Linked DNA regions of Canis lupus familiaris. The protein of the gene in region 1 interacts with the protein of each later gene in a pairwise test. Links are inferred from orthologs where the notes say so. Each region holds a gene or a part of one and is shown in the gene's direction. Other genes may lie near its edges. The genes, in order: ATN1, SIAH1, WWP1 and WWP2.

What was found.
Region 2: the proteins of ATN1 (region 1) and SIAH1 interact in a two-hybrid assay, tested with the Homo sapiens proteins (2 studies listed by BioGRID and IntAct). The link is inferred for Canis lupus familiaris from reciprocal best matches to the Homo sapiens genes ATN1 and SIAH1.
Region 3: the proteins of ATN1 (region 1) and WWP1 interact in a two-hybrid assay, tested with the Homo sapiens proteins (2 studies listed by BioGRID and IntAct). The link is inferred for Canis lupus familiaris from reciprocal best matches to the Homo sapiens genes ATN1 and WWP1.
Region 4: the proteins of ATN1 (region 1) and WWP2 interact in a two-hybrid assay, tested with the Homo sapiens proteins (2 studies listed by BioGRID and IntAct). The link is inferred for Canis lupus familiaris from reciprocal best matches to the Homo sapiens genes ATN1 and WWP2.

The regions. Positions count from the first base shown.
Region 1 is NC_049248.1:7,986,543-7,988,992, forward strand, and holds part of ATN1 (atrophin-1), read left to right. Parts: coding exon 1-871; intron 872-1,099; coding exon 1,100-1,322; intron 1,323-1,686; coding exon 1,687-2,383; intron 2,384-2,450. UniProt on the Homo sapiens protein: Transcriptional corepressor. Recruits NR2E1 to repress transcription. Promotes vascular smooth cell (VSMC) migration and orientation. Corepressor of MTG8 transcriptional repression.
Region 2 is NC_049223.1:65,986,552-65,990,680, forward strand, and holds the start of SIAH1 (E3 ubiquitin-protein ligase SIAH1), read left to right. Parts: upstream 1-1,287; 5' UTR 1,288-1,784; coding exon 1,785-1,875; intron 1,876-4,129. UniProt on the Homo sapiens protein: E3 ubiquitin-protein ligase that mediates ubiquitination and subsequent proteasomal degradation of target proteins.
Region 3 is NC_049250.1:33,230,999-33,234,565, forward strand, and holds part of WWP1 (NEDD4-like E3 ubiquitin-protein ligase WWP1), read left to right. Parts: intron 1-87; coding exon 88-216; intron 217-1,545; coding exon 1,546-1,621; intron 1,622-1,728; coding exon 1,729-1,800; intron 1,801-3,567. UniProt on the Homo sapiens protein: E3 ubiquitin-protein ligase which accepts ubiquitin from an E2 ubiquitin-conjugating enzyme in the form of a thioester and then directly transfers the ubiquitin to targeted substrates.
Region 4 is NC_049226.1:80,504,256-80,508,442, reverse strand, and holds the start of WWP2 (NEDD4-like E3 ubiquitin-protein ligase WWP2), read left to right. Parts: upstream 1-1,342; 5' UTR 1,343-1,345; coding exon 1,346-1,415; intron 1,416-4,187. UniProt on the Homo sapiens protein: E3 ubiquitin-protein ligase which accepts ubiquitin from an E2 ubiquitin-conjugating enzyme in the form of a thioester and then directly transfers the ubiquitin to targeted substrates.

The DNA.
Region 1 (2,450 bases):
AGCAGCCGCCGCCGCAGTCGCAGCAGCAGCCGCAGCAGCAGCAGCAGCAGCAGCAGCAGCAGCAGCAGCAGCAACAGCATCATGGGAGCTCTGGGCCCCCTCCCCCTGGAGCATATCCCCACCCCCTGGAGAGCAGTAGCTCCCATCATGCCCATCCCTATGCCATGTCTCCCTCCCTGGGGTCTCTGAGGCCCTACCCGCCAGGGCCAGCACACCTGCCCCCACCTCACGGCCAGGTGTCCTACAGCCAAGCAGGCCCTAATGGGCCCCCTGCCTCTTCCTCTTCTTCCAACGCCTCCTCCTCCTCTTCCTCTCAAGGATCCTACCCTTGTTCGCACCCCTCCCCTTCCCAGGGCCCCCAGGGAGCTCCCTACCCCTTCCCACCGGTGCCTCCGGTCACCACCTCCTCGGCTACGCTTTCCACGGTCATTGCCACAGTGGCTTCCTCGCCAGCAGGCTACAAAACAGCTTCCCCACCTGGGCCCCCGCCGTATGGAAAGAGAGCCCCGTCCCCAGGGGCCTACAAGACCGCCACCCCACCGGGGTACAAGCCGGGGTCACCTCCCTCCTTCCGAACGGGAACCCCACCCGGCTACCGAGGCGCCTCGCCGCCCGCGGGCCCAGGGACCTTCAAGCCGGGCTCGCCTACCGTGGGGCAGGGCCCCTTGCCACCTGCCGGGCCTGCAGGCCTGTCATCCCTGCCACCACCGCCTGCAGCCCCCGCCTCGGGGCCGCCCCTGAATGCCACGCAGATCAAACAAGAGCCAGCCGAAGAGTATGAGACCCCCGAGAGCCCAGTGCCCCCGGCCCGTAGCCCCTCGCCCCCTCCCAAGGTGGTAGACGTGCCCAGCCACGCCAGCCAGTCGGCCAGGTGAGCCGGGGGGCGGGATGCGGTTGGGCCTGGATGGGGGACGAAGATGGGGAGAGACCGGTGGAGGCCCAAGAGGGAACGCTGCCTTCCTGCGGTGCTTTTGAAAACTGACTCCGGAGCCCTGCGTCCCCCTGGCGGTGTGCGCAGGCGGGCACGGGGCAGGGTCCGCGCGGGACCGCTCCCGCCGCTCGCAGGGGCCTAAGCGCGCGCCGCCCTTGCGCCCGGCAGGTTCAACAAGCACCTGGACCGCGGCTTTAACTCGTGCGCGCGCAGCGACCTGTACTTCGTGCCGCTGGAGGGCTCCAAGCTGGCCAAGAAGCGGGCCGACCTGGTGGAGAAGGTGCGGCGCGAGGCCGAGCAGCGCGCGCGCGAAGAGAAGGAGCGCGAGCGCGAGCGGGAGCGCGAGAAGGAGCGCGAGCGCGAGAAGGAGCGCGAGCTGGAACGCAGCGTGGTGAGTGCGTCACCGCACGCGCCGCCCGCCTCCCGGCCCCTCCTCCGCGCCGCGCAGGGAGGGTCGAGGGCCGGAGCGGCGGGGGTGGTCATTGCGCCTCCTGTCGGAGAGGAGGAGGCACGGCGGCCCGGGGAGCGGAGACGGAAGGATCCCCGCGGGCGGAATCCTGGCGCTCGTGCGTTGGTGGAAGGCCAGTTCAGCCCAGAGTCCCTGGGGGTGGTAGGGAGGGCCGACGTCCGGGAGAGGGCTTCGGGCAGCGCCTGCTGGGCTGAGCCGGCCAGCAGAGGGCCTTCAGCTGGTGAGACAAGTGAGCCCCGGTTCCCAGACCTGCCCTTTTGACTCTGTTTCTCCCTGTGTCCCACAGAAGTTGGCTCAGGAGGGCCGGGCGCCAGTGGAGTGCCCATCTCTCGGCCCGGTGCCCCATCGCCCTCCATTTGAGCCGGGCAGTGCCGTAGCCACGGTGCCCCCCTACCTGGGTCCTGACACTCCGGCCCTGCGCACGCTCAGTGAATACGCCCGGCCCCACGTCATGTCTCCTGGCAATCGCAACCATCCTTTCTACGTGCCCCTAGGGGCAGTGGACCCGGGGCTCCTGGGTTACAATGTCCCGGCCTTGTACAGCAGTGACCCAGCAGCCCGGGAGAGGGAGCGGGAAGCCCGTGAACGAGACCTCCGTGACCGCCTCAAGCCTGGCTTCGAAGTGAAGCCCAGTGAGCTGGAACCCCTGCATGGGGTCCCTGGGCCAGGCCTGGATCCCTTCCCCCGACACGGGGGCCTGGCTCTGCAGCCTGGCCCACCTGGCCTGCACCCTTTCCCCTTTCATCCGAGTCTGGGGCCCCTGGAGAGAGAACGTCTGGCGCTGGCAGCTGGGCCAGCCCTGCGGCCTGACATGTCCTACGCCGAGCGTTTGGCAGCTGAGAGGCAGCATGCAGAAAGGGTGGCAGCTCTGGGCAATGACCCACTGGCCCGGCTGCAGATGCTCAATGTGACCCCCCATCACCACCAGCACTCCCACATCCACTCCCACCTGCACCTCCACCAGCAGGATGCCATCCATGCAGGTGAGACTCCTTTGTCTTGGTCCCTGGGGGCCACCTTGATCCCTGTAAGTGATTGGGCTCTTCTGTT
Region 2 (4,129 bases), on another chromosome or scaffold:
GTGTGTAGGAGACTCCAGAATGATGCCACTTTTATTGTCCTGACTCACTTGTTGAGAGGTTTGTCTGTAGGTTAATGGTTTTCAGAGACTCTGTAGGGCTCTGTAACCTCTTTCGGAAGTTTGGGAAAAGTGATCCCCCCTCCCCCCCATCATTCCTTCTCTTTGACTTGTTTTATACATTTAGGTTCAGTTTTAACTCTGGAAAGGCAGGGATGCCTAAAACATTTGAAGTCGTCTGCCCTATCAGCCTGAGACCGCTCTAGGGTGAATGTATTAGGAAATGAAAATGTAGGTAATAATAATTTATATTTGTCAGTGAGCAGACTTTATCTAACTTCATCCATATTTCTATTCCCAATGATGTTTCATGTAGCCTAATATTAACGTGAGGTTGAAATGACTGAATACAATAGGGTCTGGAAGTGATTGGAACTAAAATTTGATTTGGAAAATGGGTAATCTACAATTTACTGCACAGGGTTCATTCCCACCATGAGCTCCTGCTGTGCGTTTAAAGGCTGCCCTATAAGCATGATATAATGACAGGTTAAACCCCTGAGTGTACCACCTGACGCAGGGCAAATCTGAGGCCCAGGACTTTATTGGGGCCCGTGTAATGCTTCTTTAAAAACACAAGCTTCTCTGTTTAATGAGGCCATTTAAGATGGTTTTCCCAGACTGGGAAGAGAATATAATCTCAGTTTGGAGGTTGAAGGAGTTTAATAGAGTTACGGGTGTTTACTACTCTCACTGCAATCTATTCGAAGGAAGAGAAGGAGTTTCAAGTATGATGTCACCAGGGATAGAAGTGGAGGAGTGAGTTAGAATTGAGGAAATCGGGTCGTTGACGCCCAGTATATAGTGAACGAAGTGGGGAGAGTGCTTTTACTCTATGAGCACAGTTCACACATGGTTAACCAGGAGAAGAGCACTTTTCTGGCCACGTAATTCTCATATACTCTATGTAGGTCTTAGGTTGAAATCATACAGAATTGGCAGCATCTGTTTTCTACAGAAAGACATGTTTCGAACTAAATGTAAGCTTGTGGAAATGGGTGAGGTTGCAGTGTTGCCTGGGGTCGAGGGCAGGGTCTGGGTTGTGCGGGGCAGCGCCCCAGCGGCCCTGGGCTGGGGGGCGGGGCTTGCGGGCGTGACCACCGCGCCGGCCCCGCCCCGCCCCGCCCTGTCCGGCCCCGCAGGCCCCGCCGGCCCCGCCCCGCGCTCGCTGCGGCTGGGCTGGGCTGGGCTGGGCTGGGCGCTGCGAGCGGAGGCCGGCGGGCGCTGCGGGCTGGAGCAGGCTCCCCCAGCACCGCCAGGCCCAGCCCTGGGCCCCGCGTGGCTCTCCGGCGGGCCGGACCCTGCGGCAGCTCCGAGCTGGCTCCGGGGTGCGCCTGACCAGCCCCCGCGCACCCTGCAGCCCCATCCTTCACCCACGCTGGCGGGCTAGTGAATGTGGGGAAGACAAACTTCCAGGGCAGGCGGTTGAGGGCCCAGCGGAGGACAGCTCCGGTGATGGCGCCCATTTTTGGAAACGCAGGCGAATTGGAGCTCGCGGGGAGGTGTGGTGGACTCCTGAGGGGACGGGAGAGGCTTCGTTCCTCTGCTGCTGCGGCAGCCGGTGCTTCGGAGGAGTGAATGGGGGATCCTAGAGCAGGGCGCTTACCTTCGCTGCTTGAAGACTTGAACTCCGACGTGCTTAGGAGCAGAACGTGTCCATCCAGCAGGGCCTCTGTTACAAATCGTGTTTGCTCCTGGGGGAAGGGCTATGAGCCGCCTGACTTCTCATGACCGGGAAGTCTCCCTTACCTTTTCCGTACTCCTGGAGGGGCGTCTTGCTCACATGTCTGCCAGCAGCTGGGACAAGGAAGAGAAAAGGTATTGACACCAAGAGACTGGGATGCTTAAAGTATGAACCGGGAAAAGTTGTGAGCTGGGGGAATCGGGATCAGGGAGTGGCTGCAATGTAATTGAGCTCTAGTTTGCATTGCTGTTTCTTTTGATCTACTGTACTTTTCTCTGTTTAAACCAAGCTTCAGGTTACGTCATCACTCCTGCAGGGTTGTCTGAAGACACTTGAGTCCGTGGTTCCTACTGCAGGGCTGCTCTGTGGTTGGGGTTCTTTTTGTTTGAAGATGGAGCTGGGTTCCACCTTTGGTGCTTTGGGAGGTTTTAGCACCTTCTGTCCTGTAATACCTCCATTCGCAAGAAATACCGGCCTCATTTCACTTGTTTTCACTCTTTAGAGATTTAAACTGTTTTTTTGTTTTTTGTTTTTTGTTTTTTTTACAATGTTTGCAAAAGTAATAAAGATAATATTGGAATGTAAGCCTGAATGATTGATGATTATGTATAGTTATTTGCTCGGTCTGGAAATGAAACGATAGTATTTTTCTTGCTTATATTTTCCTAGTTCTATTATTTTGAATACAAGCCGAGTTTACTGTTCCTTGATGTGATTAGCTTGTTTGGTTTAGTAATTTGAAAAGGCATCAGTGGTTTAGACTGTTTTGTGTGCAGGGAGCCACTTTCCAATTCTAACATTGCTCACATAAGTGAGCAGTATAAAATGGACCACGAGACAGGCATACAGCATATACGTGGGGCATTTTGGCAAGGCTGAGCCCGTTGTTTCCAAGTGGTAGAAAATGCATGGATCATCGTACTCACAAAGAATCAAACACCTGGGTTGTACAGTGTTTCAGGTGATGAGAATTGATTCCCGTTGTCCCTTAAGTCCATGTGACAAGCCACCTTATGGTGGAATTCTGTACTTTTGTAGACTCTTGAATTGTAGAATATTAACTTTAGTTGACAGTGGACTATTTTTTTTGTCACCTTCAACCCTCACTTGGTGTCTATCCTTGAGTAATCTAGAAGTCCAGTTGCTTTTATATAGTCACATGGGTAACCAGCGTTGTTTTCTTAAAGTCAGGTTCTTTGCAGCAATAATGATTACATTGAGGAAGCATTAAATTTGAGGCATTCAGTTTTAGTTTTGTTAGAAATATGGTTTGTATAGTTGTTGGGAATACAGTCTTGGGACATCAGTAGACTGATCTTTTGTTATCCCTGAGACAAATATGGCCTGTCATATCCTAACAAAGTAGATTCCTGGGAAAGGTATTTATTTGCTTTATCTTTCATTTAGCCTGACAAACTAGTTACATTGTTGTCGTTTCTTCCAGATGACATTTATCTCAAATAATATTTATTCCTGTGCTGATGAATGCTTCAGCAACACTAGTGAACCCTAGGATACAAGGAATTCTTAACCTGTTTACTGTCCCCAATGTTGCATGTGTCTCTGGTGTTTTAATCTTTATTCTTTAATTACTTCTTTTCTTCCCCTTTTCAAATTATATGTAATTTTATTGTGCAATGGAAATAGAGTAGAAAGATGTACTTTCTCTGAGTACCTAAAAACTTTTGAGATTACCCTCCATTTCTCTTCTCTTTCTCCCACCTTTATTATGGGGCCTACTGATCAGTAGGAAGTAAGATTAATTAACACGTAGCTGGTGTTCAGATTCTAGGGGAAGACTTAATAGATGAAGGTGCATGATGGGATGGCAGCAGATCCTTCCCCTGACGACCCCTCCATCCCTAAATCTACAACTGAAGCAGATAACTGTTTGCCATTAGGCGGAGTTAATCAGAGCTGATGTCCTGGGTGATCCTTTGGATTACTTGTGACTGACTCCCTGTCACTGTTTCGAGCTGCCTTAGAATGGAAAAGAAATGGACTGAGCAGGGCAATTGAACACCGAGGGAGAGGGGAAAGTTCAGTGAAAACAGCTTTGGTTGAACTTAAGCTACTTAACACAGGGTTTCTTAGTTGTTTACAGTCTGGTTTCTGTTTCAGCATTTATTCCATATTGTATAATTCATCCAAAGGGATTTTTTAATATTTTTTTAAGAAAGGGAATTCTACATGTGTTTTGGGACATTTTGATAAAAGAGATTTTATCTGGTCCACAACTCCTATAATACTCAAAATGCATAATTCGTGTAATTTGTGTTTTTTTTTTTTTTTAAATCCTTTACTCTTTTTGCTCACAGTATGTTTTTCATAAAACTTAAGTATTTCTGGCATGTAAACATTATTTATAAAACAAGTGAGAGTTTTAAT
Region 3 (3,567 bases), on another chromosome or scaffold:
TTTATACGTAGAATCAAATAAACCTTGATTCAGATGTCTTTAGTGCATAGAAAATGTTCACGTTGTGATTGTAACTTTGTCTTTTAGCTTACAGAATGAAGAACCCCTGCCAGAAGGCTGGGAAATTAGGTATACTCGGGAAGGTGTTAGATACTTTGTTGATCATAATACAAGAACAACAACATTCAAAGATCCTCGCAATGGAAAATCATCCGTGTAAGTGAAAACCTGAAATTCTTAAATGTTGTTTAATGAGGTAGCCTCAAGTTTAGCAACAGATTTGTACTTTGTGGATCAAGAAAACCTATATAAGTAATAGCCCAGTATACCTATCTTTGCTTTACGTTACTACAGAATGAATTTGTAGTGCATAATGTGGTAATAATAACAATAGCAGATATTTATCTAGTGATTGCTGTATGCAGAGGATTGCTCTAAGCACTTGTAGAAACTAGCTCATTTTATTTCTCAACAACCCTTTGAGGTTGATAATACTATTTTCCCTTTTTCAGTGCAGAAACTGAGGTTTAGGGAGCATAACTAACTTGTTCAAAATCAGAAGGGAATGGAGCTGATTTCAGACCAAGGCAGTCTATTCACGGAGTATTGTGTTCATAACTGCCACATCATGCTACTGTAGTGTGAAGGAATGAGAAGTCAACAAATCTGAATTTTCCAGAAAAAAATATCCTTTAAAATATCTTAAATATCTTAAAAATATCTTAGATTCACCTTCATCCTCATTCTTAGGTGTGATTTCTTTGCATCACTTAGAAGATAGAAGCAACAATAAAAGGGGTTTTTGGTTTTGTTTTGTTGCAAATTCCTACTGTCACACCTGCCCACCTACCAGCATGTCTTCCCTCTTGATCCTATAGATGAACTATCTTTGTTCCTGTCAAAGGCCCATCCCTTTGCTGGCACTCCAGATCTTTCCCTCCCTTTCCCATTTAATTGCCCCAACAATTATCATCTTTCTGTACTCCATCATCAGGTTCTCTTCCTCTATTGAATGATTCTCATCAGCTGCTATTTCTCCTAGATGAAAAATAAGCAAAACACTGCTTTTCATTTTTCAAATTAATTCAGTGAAAACTCATTTCTGTTGCTGCCCTGAAAGCATTGTCTGTACATTGCTGTTTCTAATTTCTCTTTCAAACAAACCACAAGGAAGTTCCACTAACCCTGAGCTTGTTAAGGGCACCAGTGACCTCCACATTGCTAATGGTTAATCCAGGGGTTGGTTGCTGTTCTGTCTCACTTGATTTAGGAGCATTTGACACAATACATTTCTACCTACCTCAACTTCAGAATGTGTCCAGAATCTTCTTTACATCTTTACAAAAGACCCATCCGTACATACTTCTCACTGTATGTGTGTTCTTATTGCTCAAGCCTCTTGGCCCATTAAATGTATCTTCTTTCCTAGCAGATAACTTTCCTGTGGTCATTTGTAGGACTCTGGTATACTCCATTTTCATACTTAATATTACATATCTAATTTTATTTTGAATTAATATTTGGTTTCTTTTTTTTTTTTTTTAGAACTAAAGGTGGTCCACAGATTGCTTATGAACGCAGCTTTAGATGGAAACTTGCTCACTTCCGTTATTTGTGCCAGGTACTACAGTGGTAAATAAATCTTATATTCATAATAATTTACTCTTATCTTTATACTATATATATACTACAGCTTACATGATATCATGATGTTATTTTTGTTTTTAGTCTAATGCACTACCCAGTCATGTAAAGATCAATGTGTCCCGGCAGACACTGTTCGAAGATTCCTTCCAACAGGTAAGGAAGATTTTATCAGAATAAACAATACAATTTGTTCAGTTATATTCTATATATATAAAGGGAGTTAGGGTTTAAAAATTTTAAACCATGACTGCCAGTTACTGAGTGTCCATTATAATAATAGTCCTAATAAACCCCATCATGTATTGAGTGATTGCCAGTGCTTGGCCCTGGCATCTTATATTTATCCTTTAATTCATTGTCACAACATCCCTTTGAGATAGCTCTTATCATTATGTCCATTTTAAATAAAGCTTAAACAGCTTCTGGAACAAGTTGATACATTTTGACACTAAATTTTCTGAGATTTTATTAACTCAAACAAGTCTTGATAATACTACCAAATTAAAATTGAATCAGTATAGATACTCTGTTCCATTTAAGTATTCTTCAGTAACCCTAATGTTCATTCTTACCTCTTGTAGGTTTGTTTAAAGGTTATGGTCTTAGACCTTGTCTGAGCTCAGTAGTTAAGATGGCAGTCCCTGCTCACTTCCCTCATAGTCCCATTCTAGCCATTTATCCTACTTTATTCTTTCAATAACACTTAGCACCACTTGACCCATTTTATTTGTTTCCCTTACTAGAAGGTAAGCTCCATGGGAGCACAAACTACCTCACTTACTGCTGTTATGCTCAGTACCTAGAATAGTGTCTTGCATAAAGCAGGTATTCAGTAAACATTTGGTGAATGAATAAATGAATGTAATATGTCTGCCTTTCCTGAATCATCTACAGGATATATAAAGATAAAATATCAAAATATTGAATTTTTTTCTGATGACGTGGAGAATTTTTCATAAAAGTCTTCTCATTCCTCTCCCAGAAGTATTACAGTGATGAATTGAAAGCCCCTGTATATACATGTACCCAGGGACTTGTACATAAACAAGCCAAAATAGCAGCATTCTAAAGTCAGAGATGTTTAAATCCTAGTTTAATTTTACTAGCTGTTGGAATTTGGGCAAGATACTTAATGTAGCTATTATCAAAACTTTTTTTTGGTTGGAGTTAATTCTTAGCTTGCTCTAAGTTCTTGAGCTTTATTGTAGTTTGAGCTTTATTGTAGTAAGTTGTACATCCAAGTCACGAAAGACTTTATTTTGCCTTGTCCTCTGGTGTGGGGAGAATGATGGTCTATTTGATGTGCATGACTGCCTATGAGGCAAAGTCCTGCTGGTGAGCTGTGCCGTCACACAAACATCAGTCTTGGCTTTGGTTTTGACAGATGTGTGGTGGAAGTAGTTAATTGTTATCCAGAAGTAAAACCTGTTTGCTAGTAATCCAATGTAAGGCATTAAGGACTATGGAAATTGGATATGGGTATTGTATAAATAATTCTTTGCTTTAGCTGACTGAGTCCCTTTCCTACTGAGAAATGGAATATGTGGTATAAGCAGGACCCAGAACAAGCTCTTTGCTTCTTATCAGATGTTGCCAGTTAAAAAAGTATAAGTCACCTTTTACAAGATTCTGGTAATTTGGGGCGTGACAGGGGAAGGAGTATTTTCTAAACTTAAAAGCTTTCTGTGTCACTCTTCCTCTGTTGCCACTGATCCAAAGTAGAACTACCGTTTAATACTAAAAGAGGGGAAAGAGATTTTAGAAGGTAAATCACAGAAAGCTTAATAGAGTAAGGTACATCTCTACTAGTTTGTGGAACATACCAGTTTATCTCTTGAGTTGAAGGCATTGTACAAGATAAGGAAATGTGTTATTTTGGAAGTGGAGATTAAATTTAAACTGAATTGTTTTGGAAGAAAC
Region 4 (4,187 bases), on another chromosome or scaffold:
ATTCAGGGCAGTGCCACAAATCTGAGCTGTTGTCATTGTATTCCTCACCACAGCACACTCAGTAAAAAGAGAACAAAAAGCCAGTTTCACTTAAGAAAATGCTAGATGAAACAGTGAAAATGATTAATTTTATTAAGCCTTGACTCTTGTACATGTCTTTTTAAATATTCTTTGTGATGAAATGGGAAATATGCCTAGGGCAGGCACTTCTGCATACTGAAATAATGATTGTCTTGAGAAAAAGCACTTGTGTGAGTTTTGAATTGAGAGCTGAATTGCTTTTTTATGAAATAATCTTTTTGCTTAAAAAAAAAAAACACGAACAAACTGAAGTTACTAGATTTGGGTATTTGGCAGACACTCTTCAAGATGAATGAAGTGAGCCTGTCACTTGAAGGAAAACAACTGACAGTATTTGTTGCCAATGATAAAATATGAGTTTTTAAAGTGAAAATCAGAATTTTGGAAAAAAAAAAAAGAATTTTGGAACGCTTATATCTGCCACTAAGAACTTGACAGTTTCCCAATGCTTAAAGATCTGTTTGAGAAGATCAGTGGTGACATTCACAAATGTGCTTTTTTTTGATAGTGTATAATGAAATGTCAACATTTGGAGTATCTGCATAGCTCAGTGAACCAATATTTTTCAGATGACAAAGGATAATGTCACAAAATTGTTATATGAGTAAAAGATCTATTCAAAACGCAAGGCTTCTGGCCAAGACGAGTGACCTGGATGCCTGATGGCTAATGATGTCAAGAATAGGCTCATTGGCCATTTGTATATCTTTTTATTTATTATTTACTTATTTATTTCTTTTTATTTATTGTACAGAGAGAGTATGCACACAATAGTGGGGGGGGGGGCAGAGGGAGAGGGAGAGAGAGAGGATCCCAAGCAGGTTTCTATACTCAGTGTGGAGCCCGACTCAGGGCTTGATCTCACAACCCTGAGATCATGACCTGAGCCTAAGTCTAGAGTCTGTTGCTTACTCAACTGAGCCACCCAGGCACCCCTCTGTGTATATCCTTTGTTGATTTATGAAACTGGATTTTTTTTTTTTTTAACTGTTGAACTGTGACTTTCTTTTTGAGAGTGTTATATTAGGCTCTCTCCTGTAAATGGTGACATCGTGCGCCCTTCCTAGTTGAGCAGAGACCCATCTAGGCTCAGGAGTCATTATAAGACAGACAGCCTCCACCCTGACAGAAGTTGCTTGGATGTTTATATTTTCTTGGTTCATCTCTTTCAACTCAAATATGAAAGTTGGGTGCAGTTCTTTAATTTCTTTCCAGGTATCCTCTAAACCTACTGTTGCTCATCTTGCAGTTTTCTGGTGATGACATGGCATCTGCTAGCTCCAGCCGGCCAGGAGTGGCCCTGCCTTTTGAGAAGTCTCAGCTGACTTTGAAAGGTGAGTGGCAACATGTGAAATGTTTACTATTTGAGGCCCAGCCCAATCTTTGAGGAAAAGGCAGGGGTATGCCCACCTGGGTGTGAGAGCCAAACACTGTGAAACAGCTTAGGAATGTGAACTATTTATTCTCATAGGGTGACCATGTTGTAACTAGAATTCTATTTTTTCTTTCTTTCTTCCTTTTTAAAAAATATTTTATTTATTTATTCATGAGAGACACAGAGAGAGAGAGAGAGGCAGAGACACAGGCAGAGGGAGAAGCAGGCTCCATGAAGGGAGCCTGACATGGGACTCGATCCTGGGTCTCCAGGATCACACCCCGGGCTGACGGTGGCACTAAACTGCTGGGCCACCAGGGCTGCCCTATAGCTAGAATTCCTTTTTTTTTTTTTTTTTTAAAGATTTATTTATTTATTTATGATAGAGAGAGAGGCAGAGACACAGGAGGGAGAAACAGGCTCCATGCCAGGAGCCTGATGCGGGACTCAATCCCGGGACTGCAGGATCGCGCCCTGGGCCAAAGGCAGGCGCCAAACTGCTGAGCCACCCAGCGATCCCCTATAGCTAGAATTCTTAAAGAAGAACGATAAAAGGAACTTTTGGCAAAAATTGTTGAAAATGGTGATTCTGTGATGCCCCAGAACCCTTTCCTATCGATACTCATTCCCTAGGTTAATCTCATCCAACCTCATGACTTTATTTATTTATTTGAGAGAGTGAGCACACACAGTGGGGAAGGGCAGAGGGAGAGAGAAACTTTGACAGGCTCGTGCTTAGCAGAAGCCCAGCTACCTGATCTCAGGACCTGAGCTGAAATCCAGAGTCAGATACTTAACTGGCCACACCATGCAGGTGCCCCCCAACCTCATGGCTTTAAATGCCACCAATAATAAGGTCACTACTGCCAAAATTATGTCTCTAGCCTGGGCCTTTCCATTGATAGATTTCCAGATTTTGTATCTCTAGTAGCCCACTTGTCATTCCACTTGAATGTTTAGTAGCCATGTAAGCTCCTGGTTTTCCTTTATCATATCCTACGCTCAGCCAGCTGTGAACCTGGCCATGTCTGTCTGTCTTCGGAATGCAACTGTCGTTCAACCTCTTCTCACCACCCCCACCATCCCATGAGCTGCCTTCATCTCTACCCTTGATGAAGGCAGTAGTCTCCCTGCTTCTGTCCTTTGCCCTACTTCATTCTGTGGGTCACATAGCAGGCATGTCAAGGGCTTAAACATGTTGACAACTGGCTCTCCATCTCACCCAATAAAAGCTAAAGGTCCCACATGATGGGACCCCACCCATCACTCCCATTTCTCATTTCCTGTTACTCTTCTACCTAGACCCTGCTGTAGCCACATGGCCTCTTTGCTCTTCAGGGACTATACTGGGCACACTCCCACCTCTGAGCCTTTGCACTTGCTGTTCCCTTCGAGTGGAATGCTTTGGGGCCAGACGATTACCTGGTTTGCTTCCTTACTCTCTTTAGGTCTTTACTCAAAAGTCACCCTCTTCAGCCAGGCCTCCCTGATCCCTCTGTAGCCTCCCCCACACCCCACTTCCTCATGTCTATCCCCTTCACTACTTTATATTTGTCTTCTTAGGCTTGTCACCATTTAACACAGCACACATATGTATTTTTTAAGATTATTTGAGAGAGAGAGAGAGAGAGAGAAACTGCACAAGTTGGGGAAGGAGCAGAGAGAGGGACGAGCAGACTGAGCCCAATGCAGAGCCCTACTAGGGGCTCAACTTCATGACCCTGAAAGCACAATCTGAGCCAAAAATCAGGAGTTGGAGGCTCTAGTGACTGAGCCACCCAGGCGTCCCAACACAGTACATATTTTTATGTATTTCCTTTATTGACTGTCTCCTTCAGTAGAATGTAAACACAAAAATAGGAATTTTTCTCTATTTTCATTACTTTTGAAAACCCAGTGACACAGAATAGTACTGGATACATAGTGGGCTGTCAGTGAATATTCCTTGAATGACAGGTTGCTTTGGTGGCCTTAGCTCTGGAGTCATGGAACTGACTCCTTAGTGGAGTCATGGAACTGAGAGATGCTTGGGGAACAGTGCTGAGTATCAGAGCTCAGATACACGGTCATTTGGAGGCAAAATTGTCTCATTATTTTTTAATTTAATTTAATTTATTTTATTTTTAGTTGTTTTTTTAAAAAAAATTATTTGTTTTTATTGAAGTTTGATTTGTCAACGTATAGTATAACAACCAGTGCTCATCCCATCAAGTGCTCTCCTCAGTCCCCGTCACCCAGTCACCCCAACCCCCTGCCTGCTTCCCCTTCTGCAACCCTTTGTGTCTCATCATTTTTTAAATTATGATTTCTGAAATATAAATGTTACTCATTTCTTTTATCTGTTTATCAGCCTTAAGATTGTTTCCTTCCCTCCAGCTCCTCAGTGCTCGTCCTTGGAGGAAACTAATATACCAGTTTCTTTTCTTTCTTTCTTTTCTTTTTTTTTTTTTTTTTAAAGATTTTATTTATTTATTCATGAGAGACACACAGAAAGAGAAAGAGGCAGAGACACAGGCAGAGGGAGAAGCAAGCTCCATGCAGGGAGCCCAACATGGGACTTGATTCGGGACTTCAGGATCACACGCTGGGCCAAAGGCAGGCTCTAAACCACTGAGCCACCCAGGGATCCCCAATATATCAGTTTCTTGTGTGTCCCTTCTAAGTACATCAAAGGGGATATGATTGTGTAATCTTGAAAGCCAGGTTGCTTCCCTTGGAAGGAATACCCTTC